Cricetulus griseus: one gene and its partner. The protein of the gene in region 2 purifies or fractionates together with the protein of the main gene of each other region. This does not show direct contact. Links are inferred from orthologs where the notes say so. Each region holds a gene or a part of one and is shown on either strand. Other genes may lie near its edges.

Region 1 (5,888 bases), on a different chromosome or scaffold from region 2:
TTTATTTATGTTTTATTTATTTATTTTAGTTTTCTTTCTTTTTTATTTTTATCTTATTTTATTTTATTGGTTTTTCGAGACAGGGTTTCTCTGTGGCTTTGGAGGCTGTCCTGGAACTAGCTCTTGTAGACCAGACTGGTCTCGAACTCACAGAGATCCACTTGCCTCCCAAATGCTGGGATTAAAGGCTTATTTTAGTTTTTCAAGACAGGGTTTCTCTGTGTAACAACCCTGTCTGTACTAGAACTCACTTTGTAGACCAGGCTGGCCTCAAACTCACAGCGATCTGCCTCCCTCTGCCTCCCAAGTATAGGGATATAAGGCATGGGTTTATCCACTTTTATTTTATGTGTTTTGCCTTCGTGTATTTATATACACAGTGTGCATATATGTTGCTAGCAGAGGCCAGAAGAGGGCATCAGACTCCCTGACACTGAAGTTACAGATAGTCATAAGCCACCAGATTGGGTGATGATGGAACAGGTTCTCTGCAAGAGCAGCAAGAGACCTTAACTGCTTGGTCATCTGTCCAGCCCCCAGCACAGTCCTTTGAAGTAACCGGGGAATGTTTTCCATAAGAGCTGGGGGAGATGTGAACAAGCACAGGATCTGAGGGGTGTAAACGGCTACCTTTTTAACTTCTTACTGCTGGATGCTAAACTTGGCCTCTCTGGGTTCCAGGGCCCCTCGGGTCTGTAGCAGGGATAGTGCAAGGTTCTTTGTTTTTGTTTGTTAAAGACTTAAAGAGATCTTTCGGCGCACGCCTTAATCCCAGCACTCGGGAGGCAGAGGCAGATGGACCTCTGTGTTCAGGGCCAGCCTGGTCTACATCCCCATTGTAAGATTCAAAGAAAGATGGAAAGGAGGGGAAGGGAAGGCAGAGACCCTGAATGTGAGGAGAACTGGAAAGTGATGGTGGCCATCAGAGACTCTGGCTCAGAGCAGCCATTCAAATGCAGTCTTCACTCTTTCCTCCCAAACACCGTCATTTTATACGGTCAGCAGCACTCTGGGTAGGAGTACGCCTTGAGACACACCTAGGTGATACCAAGCAAGTTGTGCAGAATTTTGAGCTATTTCCACATGTTACATATTAAAGAAATTTCACATGCCTATGTTCTCAGCACTTGGGTGGTGGAAGCAGAAATGTGTAACAGACTTTCTTTGGGGCTGCCCAACCAGCTCCCAAATCATGGCATGGGGATTTATTATTAGTTATAAATGCTCAGCCTTAGTTTATGCTTGTCCTCTAGCTCTTACAACTTATTTTAGCCTGTTTCTCTGCATCTACGTTTTGCCTCTCGGGCTCTTTACAAACTCTCTTTCATTCTGTGTGCTCTACGCTCATGGCTTGCTCTCAATGTGGCTGGCAGCTGGCTGGCTCCCAGGGTCTCCCTCTCTTTCTCCCTCGTTCTCTTCTCCTATTTATTCTTTCTGTCTTCCACCCTCACCTATCCCTCTACTGGCCCCCTATTGGCCATTTGGCTTTTAATTAGACCCTCAGATGCCTTGGGCAGACAAGTAGAAACAGCCACACATTTTTGCATAATTAAACAAATGAAGCACAAACAAATGCAACACACCTTTATACAGTTAAAGTAATACTCAGCAACATATCAAATGTGACCATCTTTACATAGTTAAGGGTTCCACGACAGAAATACATCAAGTTCCAGGTCAGCCTCAGCTACATGAGACCTAGCCCATTAAAAAAAAAAAAAAAAAAAATGAAATGTCATTCCTTCTTGCATAGGAGAATGTGTTTAGTGTACCTTACTTCACACATATAGACACTTGTATGAAAAATCACTTTAATTAATTTTAAAAAAATATGTTAGCCAAGTGTAATGACTGGTCCTGGGTTGCAGGGGAAAAAAAAATTCTCTAAAGTCATTAGTCAAAAACAATGGACGTTACCAGCAATAATTTTCTGACTTCAACAATTCTACCGTGTAATAAAAGAAAAATTACTTGTTTTAGAAATTCATTATAGACCTTTTACAGGAATATAAACCACGTCTATGACTTACTCATGAGAAAATTTTCCCAACGGTCTCTAGTAAGCGGCAGGAGAGGAAACGGCGCGCTTCGTGCTACGTTCTCCACTAGATGGAGCTGCGTGCTAAAACTTCTCTAACTCACCCCTCCAAACTCCTAGGCGGGCTTCGCAGTAATCCTCCTGCCTCAGCCTCGCTGGGCGCAGGAATTACACGCCACAACGCACGGCCCAAATACTAATGTGCGAAGGAAGAAAATTTGAAATGCCCTCTGTACAGGCGGTGAGAAAACCGATGTGCCCTTCAACAACGGGAAGGAAAGGTAATTCCCTAATTCTTCCTACAGCTCACGACCAAGCCTGCCCGGCTAAGCGGCCACTTAGGGGAGCCTGCCCCGGCCGCAGCTCACACGACGGCCACGGCCCACTGGGCCGCCACTAATCTTCGCGCGTGTGCGCGTGTGTGCGCGTGTGCGCGTGTGTGCGTTCATATGTGTGAGCGTGTGTGCATGTGTGTGCACGTGTGTGCGCGTGCGTGCGCGTGTGCGCGTGTGTGTGCGTTCATATGTGTGAGCGTGTATGCATGTGTGTGCGCGTCTGTGCGTGTTTGTGCGTTCATATGTGTGAGCGTGTGTGCATGTGTGTGCGTGTGTGCGCGTGTGTACGCTCATATGTGTGAGCGTGTGTGCATGTGTGTGCGCGTGTCTGTGCGCGTGTGCGCGCGTGTGTGCGTTCATATGTGTGAGCGTGTGCGCATGTGTGTGCGCGTGTGTGCGTGCGCGCGTGTGTGCGCTCATATGTGTGAGCGTGTGTGCATGTGTGTACGCGTGTCTGTGCGTGTTTGTGCGTGTGCATGTGTATCTGCGTGTTCAGGTGCGTGCGTGTGCGTGCGTGTGCGCGTGTACATGTCTGTGGGTGTGTGCACCTGTGTGCGCGTGTGTGCGTGTGTATGCGTGTGTGCCACGGCCCACTAGGTCACCACTAATCTTCACATGTGCCTGTGTGTGCGTAGGTGTGCGTGCGTGCGTGCGTGCGCGCGCTACACGGGATTGTTCCGGTGGGCGAGCTCATAAACGCCCTCGGAAGCGCTTGGGCGTCTTGTTTTGTGGCAGGTGCCCGCGCGGAGCCGTGGCTGGCCTCGAACTCACGCGCGCCCTCCACGCAGCGCACTGCGCTCCGCCAGGTCTGCGCGCGCAGCCTTCTCGACCCCGGCCCGGTTCCCCGCACCGCGCGCTCGCACTCACCATGGCCGCCCGGCTCGCACCCCGACCGCGCAGCCGCCAACCCGCGCAGGAGGCCGCGCGACCCCGCGCCGCCGCCGCCGCCGCCATGGCCCGGGCTGCCCGCGCGCTGCCTGACGCCGCCCAGGCCCCGAAGGCCCCCGGGGCGGGATGGCCGCGGCGCCGCGGTGCTCGCCCAGGCTCAACTCCCTCGGCCGGGCGAGCAGCCCGGGGCGGGCCTGGCGGGAGTGCGCGGTGGCCGTGGCAGCTGAGCTCGGAGCGGAGACCGCTGGGGACGCGCTGAGACAGTACGGGGACGTGTTCTTTAAATGCCGTGTGTGTGCGTGTGTGTGCGCGCGCGCGCGCGTGTGTGTGTGTGTGTGTGCGTCTGTGTGTGTGTGTGTGTGTGTCTGTGTGTGTGTGTGTGTGTGTGTGCGTCTGTGTGTGTGTGTGTGTGTGTGTCTGTGTGCGTGTGTGTGTGTCTGTGTGCGTGTGTGTGTGCCGTCTGTGTGTGTCTGTGTGTGTGTGTCTGTCTGTCTGTGTCTATGTCTGTGTGTCTGTCTGTGTGTGTGTGTCTGTGTGTGTGTGTGTGTGTCTGTGTGTCTGTGTGTCTGTGTGTGTGTGTGTGTGTGTCTGTGTGTGTGTCTGTGTGTGTCTGTGTGTGTGTGTGTGTCTGTCTGTGTCTATGTCTGTGTGTCTGTCTGTGTGTGTGTGTCTGTGTGTGTGTGTGTGTCTGTGTGTGTCTGTGTCTGTGTGTCTGTCTGGGTCTGTGTGTCTTCTGTGTGTGTGTGCGTGTGTGCCCTGTGTGTGTGCCCTGTGTGTGTGTCTGTGTGTGTCTGTGTGTTAGTCCTTATTATCCTTTTGCAGTTTTTTTTTTTCCTTTGAGACGTAATTGACAATAAAATTCACTCTTTAAAATCCGTGGTATGGGGCCAGGGTTTTGACGCTGTGGTGAGTTTTGATTAAAATGTTTCAGCTTTTAGTTCCCCTTGTATGTTTGTTGTTTTGTTTTGTCTTTGGTGGTGGTGCTGTTTGGCTTGGTTTTGGTTTTTTGAGACAGGGTTTCTCTGTGTAGCCCTGGCTGTCCTGGAACTCACGCTGTAGACCAGGCTGGCCTCGAACTCAGATCCGCCGTCCTCTGCCTCCCGAGAGTGTCACCACAGCCAGGCCATCCTTTGGGGTTTTTTACTAATAACTATTTTGTATTCCTTTCTTGAGCCAGTTTTACTGTAGCCCAGGTACAACATTGCAGAGGCTCTGCCGCCTTGAACACCCGCCTGCCCCCGCCTTCCAGGAGCTGGAGGTTGTGGACATGCACCCCCAAGCCCAGCCCCGCTCTTTTTTTCTAAATTAGCACATTAATATTACCAGTTTGCCAGACATGGTAGCACACACCTTTAATCCCAGAACTCTGGGGCTGAGGCAGACTGATCGCTGAGAGTTACAGCCAGCCTGGGATACATAGGAAGTTGCCGAGTCAGAGCTGCATAGTAAGAATTTTCTTATTTTTATCAGCTTTACGGAAAATTCGGCAAAAGGATATATGTACTAAAGACTTCATTTAAGAATGATTTCGTAATTATTAGCAGTCTTATATCCCAGATGGTCTTAGAAAAAAAATAAAGCCTCAAAATAACCAAAAATGTACACTTCAGTCCTGACCTTTTGTTTGTTTTGTTTTGTTTCTTGATTGGCAAGATGTAACAATCTGAAAAACTCCGGGTACTCTGAGGGCACTGGTCCGACAGCATTGACTTGAAGTAACTTGGGTGACAGTGTGGGTTTCTTTGGGCCTAAGGATGAGGGGCCAGGGGTAGAATTAAAAGAAAAGTCTTATTTTCCCGCAGTGGTGACACAGGTCTTTAATCCCAACACTCAGGAGGCAGAAGCAGGTGGAGGCCAGCCTGGTCTACAGGGCTACACAGAGAAACCCTGTCTCAAAAAAAAAAAAAGGAAGAAGGAAGGAAGAAAACTAAGTCTTGTTTTAGTATCCTCACTGAGTGTTTATGATTATGGAAAATAGTCTTGAGATTTGCTTATTGAAGTGAGGATCCCCGAGGGCGTGGTATTCACCTGGAATCAGCACTGGGAAGGACAGGCAGGAGGAGTTGAAGTTTGACTCCAGCCGAGCTACACCCTGGAAAAGGAGGAGGGAGAGAAGCTGAGAACTGAAAATGGGTTGGTAGGTGACTAACAAAGCCATGGTGCGTCATTCTCCCTCCTTAACACCCGTCTGAAACCATGGCATCTCAAATCTAGTTACAAAGCAGCAAGAGAAAGATGTCTGGGCCTAGGGAAGTTACATCATCATCCAACAGAGGCTCTGTGCGGGTGGCACTCACCAGATGGGCCATGAAGCTGGCTCAGCAGGCGAAGGTTCTTTTGGCCAAGCCTGCTGACCTGTTTGGTCCCCAGGACCCACTGGTGAGAGGAGAGAGCTGTCATCACAAGTTGTCCTCTGAGACACACACACACACACACACACACACACACACACACACACTTTTAATTATTTTATTTTTTAGAAGGCTCTCAGGTCTAGAGAGATGGCTCAGAGGTTAGGAGCACTTTGCTGCTCTTGCAGAGGACCTGGGTTCGATTCCCAGCACCCACACGGCAGCTCACAACTGTCTGTAACTCCAGTTCCAGGGGATCCAACATCCTTTTGTAGC
Region 2 (6,074 bases):
AAAAACCCAAAAAAACTCAGGGGCCCAGGCACACCAGGGATCAGATTTACCACGGAGCTATATCTCCAGCCCTTTTAACATTTCATTTTATCTTTATTTTAAAATTTAACCCAGTTTATCCAAAAGAACACCATTTCAACAAGAGGTCTCAGCCACCACTCAAGTTCTTGGTGGCCCCTATGTGACCACCAAGGTGTGGTGGTGTGACAGGGACATAGTTGACTGTCAAAGGTGCTTGGCTCACCAGACGTGTTCTTGCCTGCTGCTGGCCTGAAGGCTTTCTGGCTATCTCTTCCTGCACTACAAAACTTGATCCTGACTCCAAAGAACCTTGAAGGTTCTGGAAGCAGCCCAGTTTGGGGGCAGTGCTCTTTACCAGGAAAAGGATGAAGAGAAACGAGAGGGCCAGGCTCCCTCACAGACGGAACATGGGGCCTGGCTAGGATGAAGTGAAGGAAGGATGGGCCTGTCTAAGTTTGCTATTTTATTCACAGATTGTGTGTGTGTGTGTGTGTGTGTGTGTGTGTGTGTGTGTGTGTGTGTATGTTTTGGAGACAGAGTTTATCTGTGTAGCCCTGGCTGTCCTGGAACTCACTCTGTAGACCAGGCTGACTTCAAGCTCACAGAGATCCACCTGCCTCTGCCTCCCTGCTGGGATTAAAGGCCACCACCTCCTGGCTTGAATTACTTTATAGTATGCATTCCAGGCTGGTCTAGAACTCCTTGTCCATGTGATATATTTTTAAAATTAATGAAGAACCCAAAAGGATGGAAAACACACATTCACATAAAAACTTTAATGTGGGTACTGTGAGCAGCATTGCTCACCTCAGCCAAAAGGTGTGGGGGGGGGCAATAATAAGCCATCTATGGATGCTTGGGAGAAGTGCTATGTCTCCGTGCAGTAATTGCCCTTTATTCACCAGGGAAGGGATAAATGGGGATAAATTTGTACTCTGGATGAGTGAGCTTTGAAAACAGAATGCAAAAACAAAACAACAAAAAACCCAGAATGCTAAGAATAGGCAAGCCCAAAGAAGGGAAGGGGGAGGGAGAAGGATGGGGCAGGGAGAGGGAGGAAAGACTGGTAGGTCATGGCTGCTCAGAAGATGTGGAGTTTCTCTTGGGATGATGAAAATGTTCTGAATTGATTGGTGGCGTGAGGCAGTGCTTGGGATACACTAAACACTGCTGAGTGAACGTGTCAAAAGGCAACAAGATGGCTCAGCCGGTAAATGTGCTTGTGGCCAAGTCTGACCACCAGGGTTCCCACAGGGAGGAAGAAGAGAACTGACCCCTGCTGCTGTCTCTCTCTCTCTCTCTCTCTCTCTCTCTCTCTCTCTCTCTCTCTCACACACACACACACACACACACACACACACTTAAAAAGACAAAAATATCGATTGCTTTCATTAAGTAGTACTGGAGAAAAATCATACTTAAGAAAAATTAAAAGATGTATTTTAGGGCTGGGGTGTGGCTCAGTTGGTAGAGACCTTGCCTAGCATACATAAGGCCCTGGGTTTGATCTCCTGTACTTCAAAAACTTGGCTGTGGTACAGGCCTGTAATCCCAGCACTTGGGAGGTAGAGGCAGGAGGATCAGAAGTTCAAGGTCATCCTGTGCTACACAGTAAGATTGTCTCGAAAAACAACACACACACACACACACACACACACACACACACACACACACACACACCTCCTGGGGTCAGGATCATACAATGATGAGAAGGGCATAGATATTAACACAGAAGTTTGAATTGTTAGGATACAAGTCTTAAGTTTTTCCCACCCGGCGTCTGGTGTTGGGCTTGGCTGGAGGTTCAGTGACCCCACTGGAGGGAATGTGACCTAACTCTACCCTTGAGAACTGGTCCAGTGGACCAGAGCTTCCTGCTGCTTCAGCGCCCAGGGCCAAAACCAACCGAGACCCTTGGGCAGTGGGACCCAGGACTGCTCTCAGAGGCCTCCTGGCTCCTGGTAACTCTATTCCAGCGCCCCTGGCCCCTGCTCCACCTCCCCCACCCGCCCTTCTGCTCACTCCCAATTGCAGGCCATGGCTCCTGGTCTTCTCACTGCCATGAGGCCTGCACTTTGCAAGGCTGAAGTCCAAAGTTCAGTCCCTTCGCTAAGCACACGGATAAATATGAACCTTGGAGAATTTCCCCAGCTCCAATGTAAACAGAGCAGGCAGGGGCCCTGATTCACTGGCCGCTGGGGCCAGCGTTGGGGGTTGGGGGTGCCCACAGGGCTTGACTAGTGGGATTTGGGGGGGCAGTGGGTGCAGCAAGCCTGGTTCGTGACTGCCAGCCTGCCGGCAAGTAGACACCGGCTGTGGGTGGGGGAGGCGGCTAGCTCAGTGGCCTTGGGCCGCGTGGCCTGGTGGCAGTGGAGCCATGGTTTCTAAACTCAGCCAGCTGCAGACGGAGCTCCTGACTGCCCTGCTCGAGTCCGGCCTGAGCAAGGAGGCTTTGATTCAGGCCTTGGGGGAGCCAGGGCCCTACCTGATGGTTGGAGATGCTCCCTTGGACAAGGGGGAGTCCTGCGGTGGGAGTCGAGGGGACCTGGCCGAGCTGCCCAATGGCCTGGGGGAGACGCGTGGCTCGGAAGATGACACGGATGACGATGGGGAAGACTTCGCGCCACCCATTCTGAAAGAGTTGGAGAACCTCAGCCCGGAGGAGGCAGCCCACCAGAAAGCCGTGGTGGAGACGCTTCTGCAGTAAGGACCCCACCCTGTCCCCATAGCGGCCCACTTCCCGTCCTCAGCAGCTATGGCCTTCAGGCTGGCGGTCAAGAGGGGAGAGAGCTCAAGGGGTTCTTGCCGGACCCACTCCTCTGCTTGGTCCCATAAATCCCATATCTGTGGGCTACTATCTGCAGCCCGGTCCTTAGGAAGTAGGGGCTGGCAGGAGGTCACTTTGAAATGGAGGACAAAGGAACCAAGCTCCAAAGAAATGCTTGGACAACCAGAGGGTAGAAGAAATCTTCAGCCACCGTGGTCATTTGTGCTCTCACAAATACCACCTTCTTGGCTAGGTGGTCAGACCCCAAGTTTGGGGGCCCGAAAGCTTCTGAGGAGGCCGGCTGAGGTTGGGGTTTTAGGGGATTTCCTGACGCACCAGGGCCTTAAACTGGGTAAACCGGGGATTTCTTACCTGAGGCAGATGGACCACTTTCCTGCATGGCCACGACTGCCCCCCCCCCGCCCCCACCTGTCGGGATAGCAGTTTTAGCGGCCTACCCATACCATACCCCCTCATCTGTTGTCTGGCTCCCCATCTCCTGGAGTGCTGGGTGGGTCCCAGTCTTGATGCCGCCCCTCTCCTCAGCAAAGCTGACCTGGTTACTAATTACCCATGCGCTTTATTATTTCTTTTGTTTTATAAATTTATAAATAGCAAAAGGCTCTGATAAGGCCTGTGATCATTAACTTGTAGGGATGGTGGCTGGGAGATGCCCAGTCGGGGGTGGAGAAAGGTAACACCAGGGTGGGGGGAGGGTGACCTGGGGGCTGTGGGGAACCACTCCTCCCAAAACCTCCATGTTTTCATGCGAATATCTCTCCAATGGCTACTTTCTGTTGGGATTTCATAATGCCTAAATTCCCATAATATGGAGATGAGCCTCAGACGAAGCTGTTACAAAGTCAGTTTCACAGATAGGGAAACTGAGGCTCGAACTGGGGCAGGAGCTATGAAAGTGTGGCCTGAGGGCTGGCTGAGGAGTTTGCCGGAGAACTTTCAGGAAGGAGCCTCTTTTCTGTCCAAGGTCCTGATCCTGCTTGGGGTGGGGGAGGGCTGGTGGAGCCCGGCATTTCTGGAAGTGTTAGGGAACCTCCCTGGGCCTTGGGCAAGGGGCAGGGGAGCAGTCAGGCCCCCTGACTTGGCAGGAAGAGGAGGGCAAAGGGCTGCCTCGCTGCAGGGGAGGGGCAAAGGGCCAGACATTGCCAGACCTAGGGCACAAGAAACCTGGATAGGGTGGGGCCGGGCCTGACCTGTTCAAGGGGCCCCAGGTGGGACTAGGGGCTCAGGGACAGAGGTGGCAAGGGACTTCTTACCTGGGTAGGTGGGACCTCTTGATCAGCAGCCCCATGGTGGGGGAAGTAGAGGCTGAAGTGGGGCTTGGTCCAAAGCAGCTAAGAGGTCAAAGTGCTCCCTGGGGGCCAGCAGAGTCCTGGAAGCTGACAAGGAGAGGGACAACAAGGAGGATGAGGAGGGAGAGGGCGGGAGGAGCTGAGAGAGCAGAGGAGCCAGGAAGGGAGAGGGTCTCCAAGCAGCTGGGAGAAGGGGCAGGGGAGAGAGGGGCAGGGGAGAGAGGCCGAGCTGGGAGGAGGCTGGAGTTCCTCCCTCCCAGGTTGGTTTTCTTTAATGCTAACAGCGTGCTATTTGCTTTCCATTTAAATTCGAGATGTTGCTATAAATTATCAACCAGCTCCTTGTTCCTGCAGAGTTTATAACTAACTACCTGGGTTACTTATTGTTCAGGTAACAAAGGGGACCTGAATATGTCCCAGGGACAAAAGTGGGGCCTCTAGTGTCAGGACAGGGGGGGTGGGAACTCTGGGAAGGACCCCCATAAAGGCCTGGGTAGTGGGGATATTGAGGCTGGAAGAGGGGATGGTAAGCTCCCCATGGGAGCTGTTGGCTCAAAGACCTACATGTGAAAGGGGGACACCCCAAATGACACCCAGATTCTCCTCACAGATCCCTATCCTTCAGGTCTTTACTGTGTGACCTTGGGCAAGTCTCTTTCCCTCCCCTGCCTCAGTGTCACCAGGTAGACAGGGAATAAAGGCAAACTGTCTGCCTTGGTTCTAATTCCACTCTTCCCCTCATCTCTCCCAGCCTCCTTCCCCTCCCCTCTCCTCTCCCAGCCTCCTTACCCTTTTTATCCTTTCTTTGGTACCCGTGATGCTGACTTTGCTGGTCCTGGATGCACAAGTTGATTTCTACTTCACAGCCTTTGCCTGTCTTGTTCTTCCTGCTAAGGACCCTGCATTCCCCCCCCAACTGCTTCTTCCTTGGCTCTGAGCTCCCTAACTACCCTGTCTGCATATGAGCTGTACCCCAGTTTCTCTTTCCTTCACTGTGTCTATCTACTCTCTCTGGTCCCTTAATCATATAGTTATTTTATTTGTCTCTTTGTTTATTTCTTGTCTCCTGATGTGAAAACATCTCCAGGGAGAAGCTTATGACATCACTACTCTCACACACACACACACACACCCACTGCCCTGACATGCCAGGCATGAGTGAGCAAGAGATAGTCTTCCCTGAGGACACCTCCTACTCCTCCATAGGGGAACACTTGGGATCCAGAGCTCTGTCCTGGCTGCCAACTGCTTAAACCTCAACCTTGCTGTTTTCTGATCTCCCCTGTCAGGCAGCAGCAGGGTTCTCCCAGATGATAACATAACAGCATGCACCATGCTTCACCAGACAGTGGCCTGCCTTGGTTCCCATCCTAGCTCTGTCCCTTTCCAGCCAGCTAGGTGGGTTTTGTTCCCCAAGTCCCAGTTTCTTCTGCAGAACAGTGAGGACAACACTCAGCCACAGGGTCACGAGCATGACCACAGCTGAGCAGTAATCTACCTGCATGGCTTTAAGCATTAAGAATCAATTGCTCAGGCGGGTGTTGGTGGCACACACCTTTAATCCAGCACTCAGGAGGCTGAGGCAGGTGGATCACTGAGATCACTGAATTGGAGGATAACCTAGTCTACAGAGCAAGTTCCAGAACAGCCAGAGCTACACAGAGAAACCCTGCCTCAAAAAACAAAAATCAAAAACAAACAAAACAAAAAATCCCTCACAAAGGGTTTAAAAATGATTAAACTTGGGTTTCCTTCTGAATAATTTCTGAAGCACCCACCCACACACACACACACACACACACACACACACACACACACACACACACACACACGCACGCATGCGACAGGATTTCAAGAATGCCAGACTAGCTTCAAACTTGATATATCAAGGGTGACATTGAACACCTAATCCTCCGGCCTCTACCTCTCAAGTGCTGAGATTACAGGCTTGTGCCACTATACTTGTTTTGGTTTTT

Evidence for each region. Proteins that work in one complex are often made in the same cells at the same time.
Region 1: the proteins of Hnf1a (region 2) and Pcbd2 purify together in Homo sapiens (affinity purification with mass spectrometry; 4 studies listed by BioGRID and IntAct, with this or other methods). This does not show direct contact. The link is inferred for Cricetulus griseus from reciprocal best matches to the Homo sapiens genes HNF1A and PCBD2.

The regions. Positions count from the first base shown.
Region 1 is NC_048596.1:274,714,695-274,720,582, reverse strand, and holds the start of Pcbd2 (pterin-4-alpha-carbinolamine dehydratase 2), read right to left. Parts: upstream 3,328-5,888; coding exon 3,241-3,327; intron 1-3,240.
Region 2 is NC_048597.1:94,548,293-94,554,366, reverse strand, and holds the start of Hnf1a (hepatocyte nuclear factor 1-alpha), read left to right. Parts: upstream 1-2,398; coding exon 2,399-2,724; intron 2,725-6,074. UniProt on the Homo sapiens protein: Transcriptional activator that regulates the tissue specific expression of multiple genes, especially in pancreatic islet cells and in liver. Binds to the inverted palindrome 5'-GTTAATNATTAAC-3'.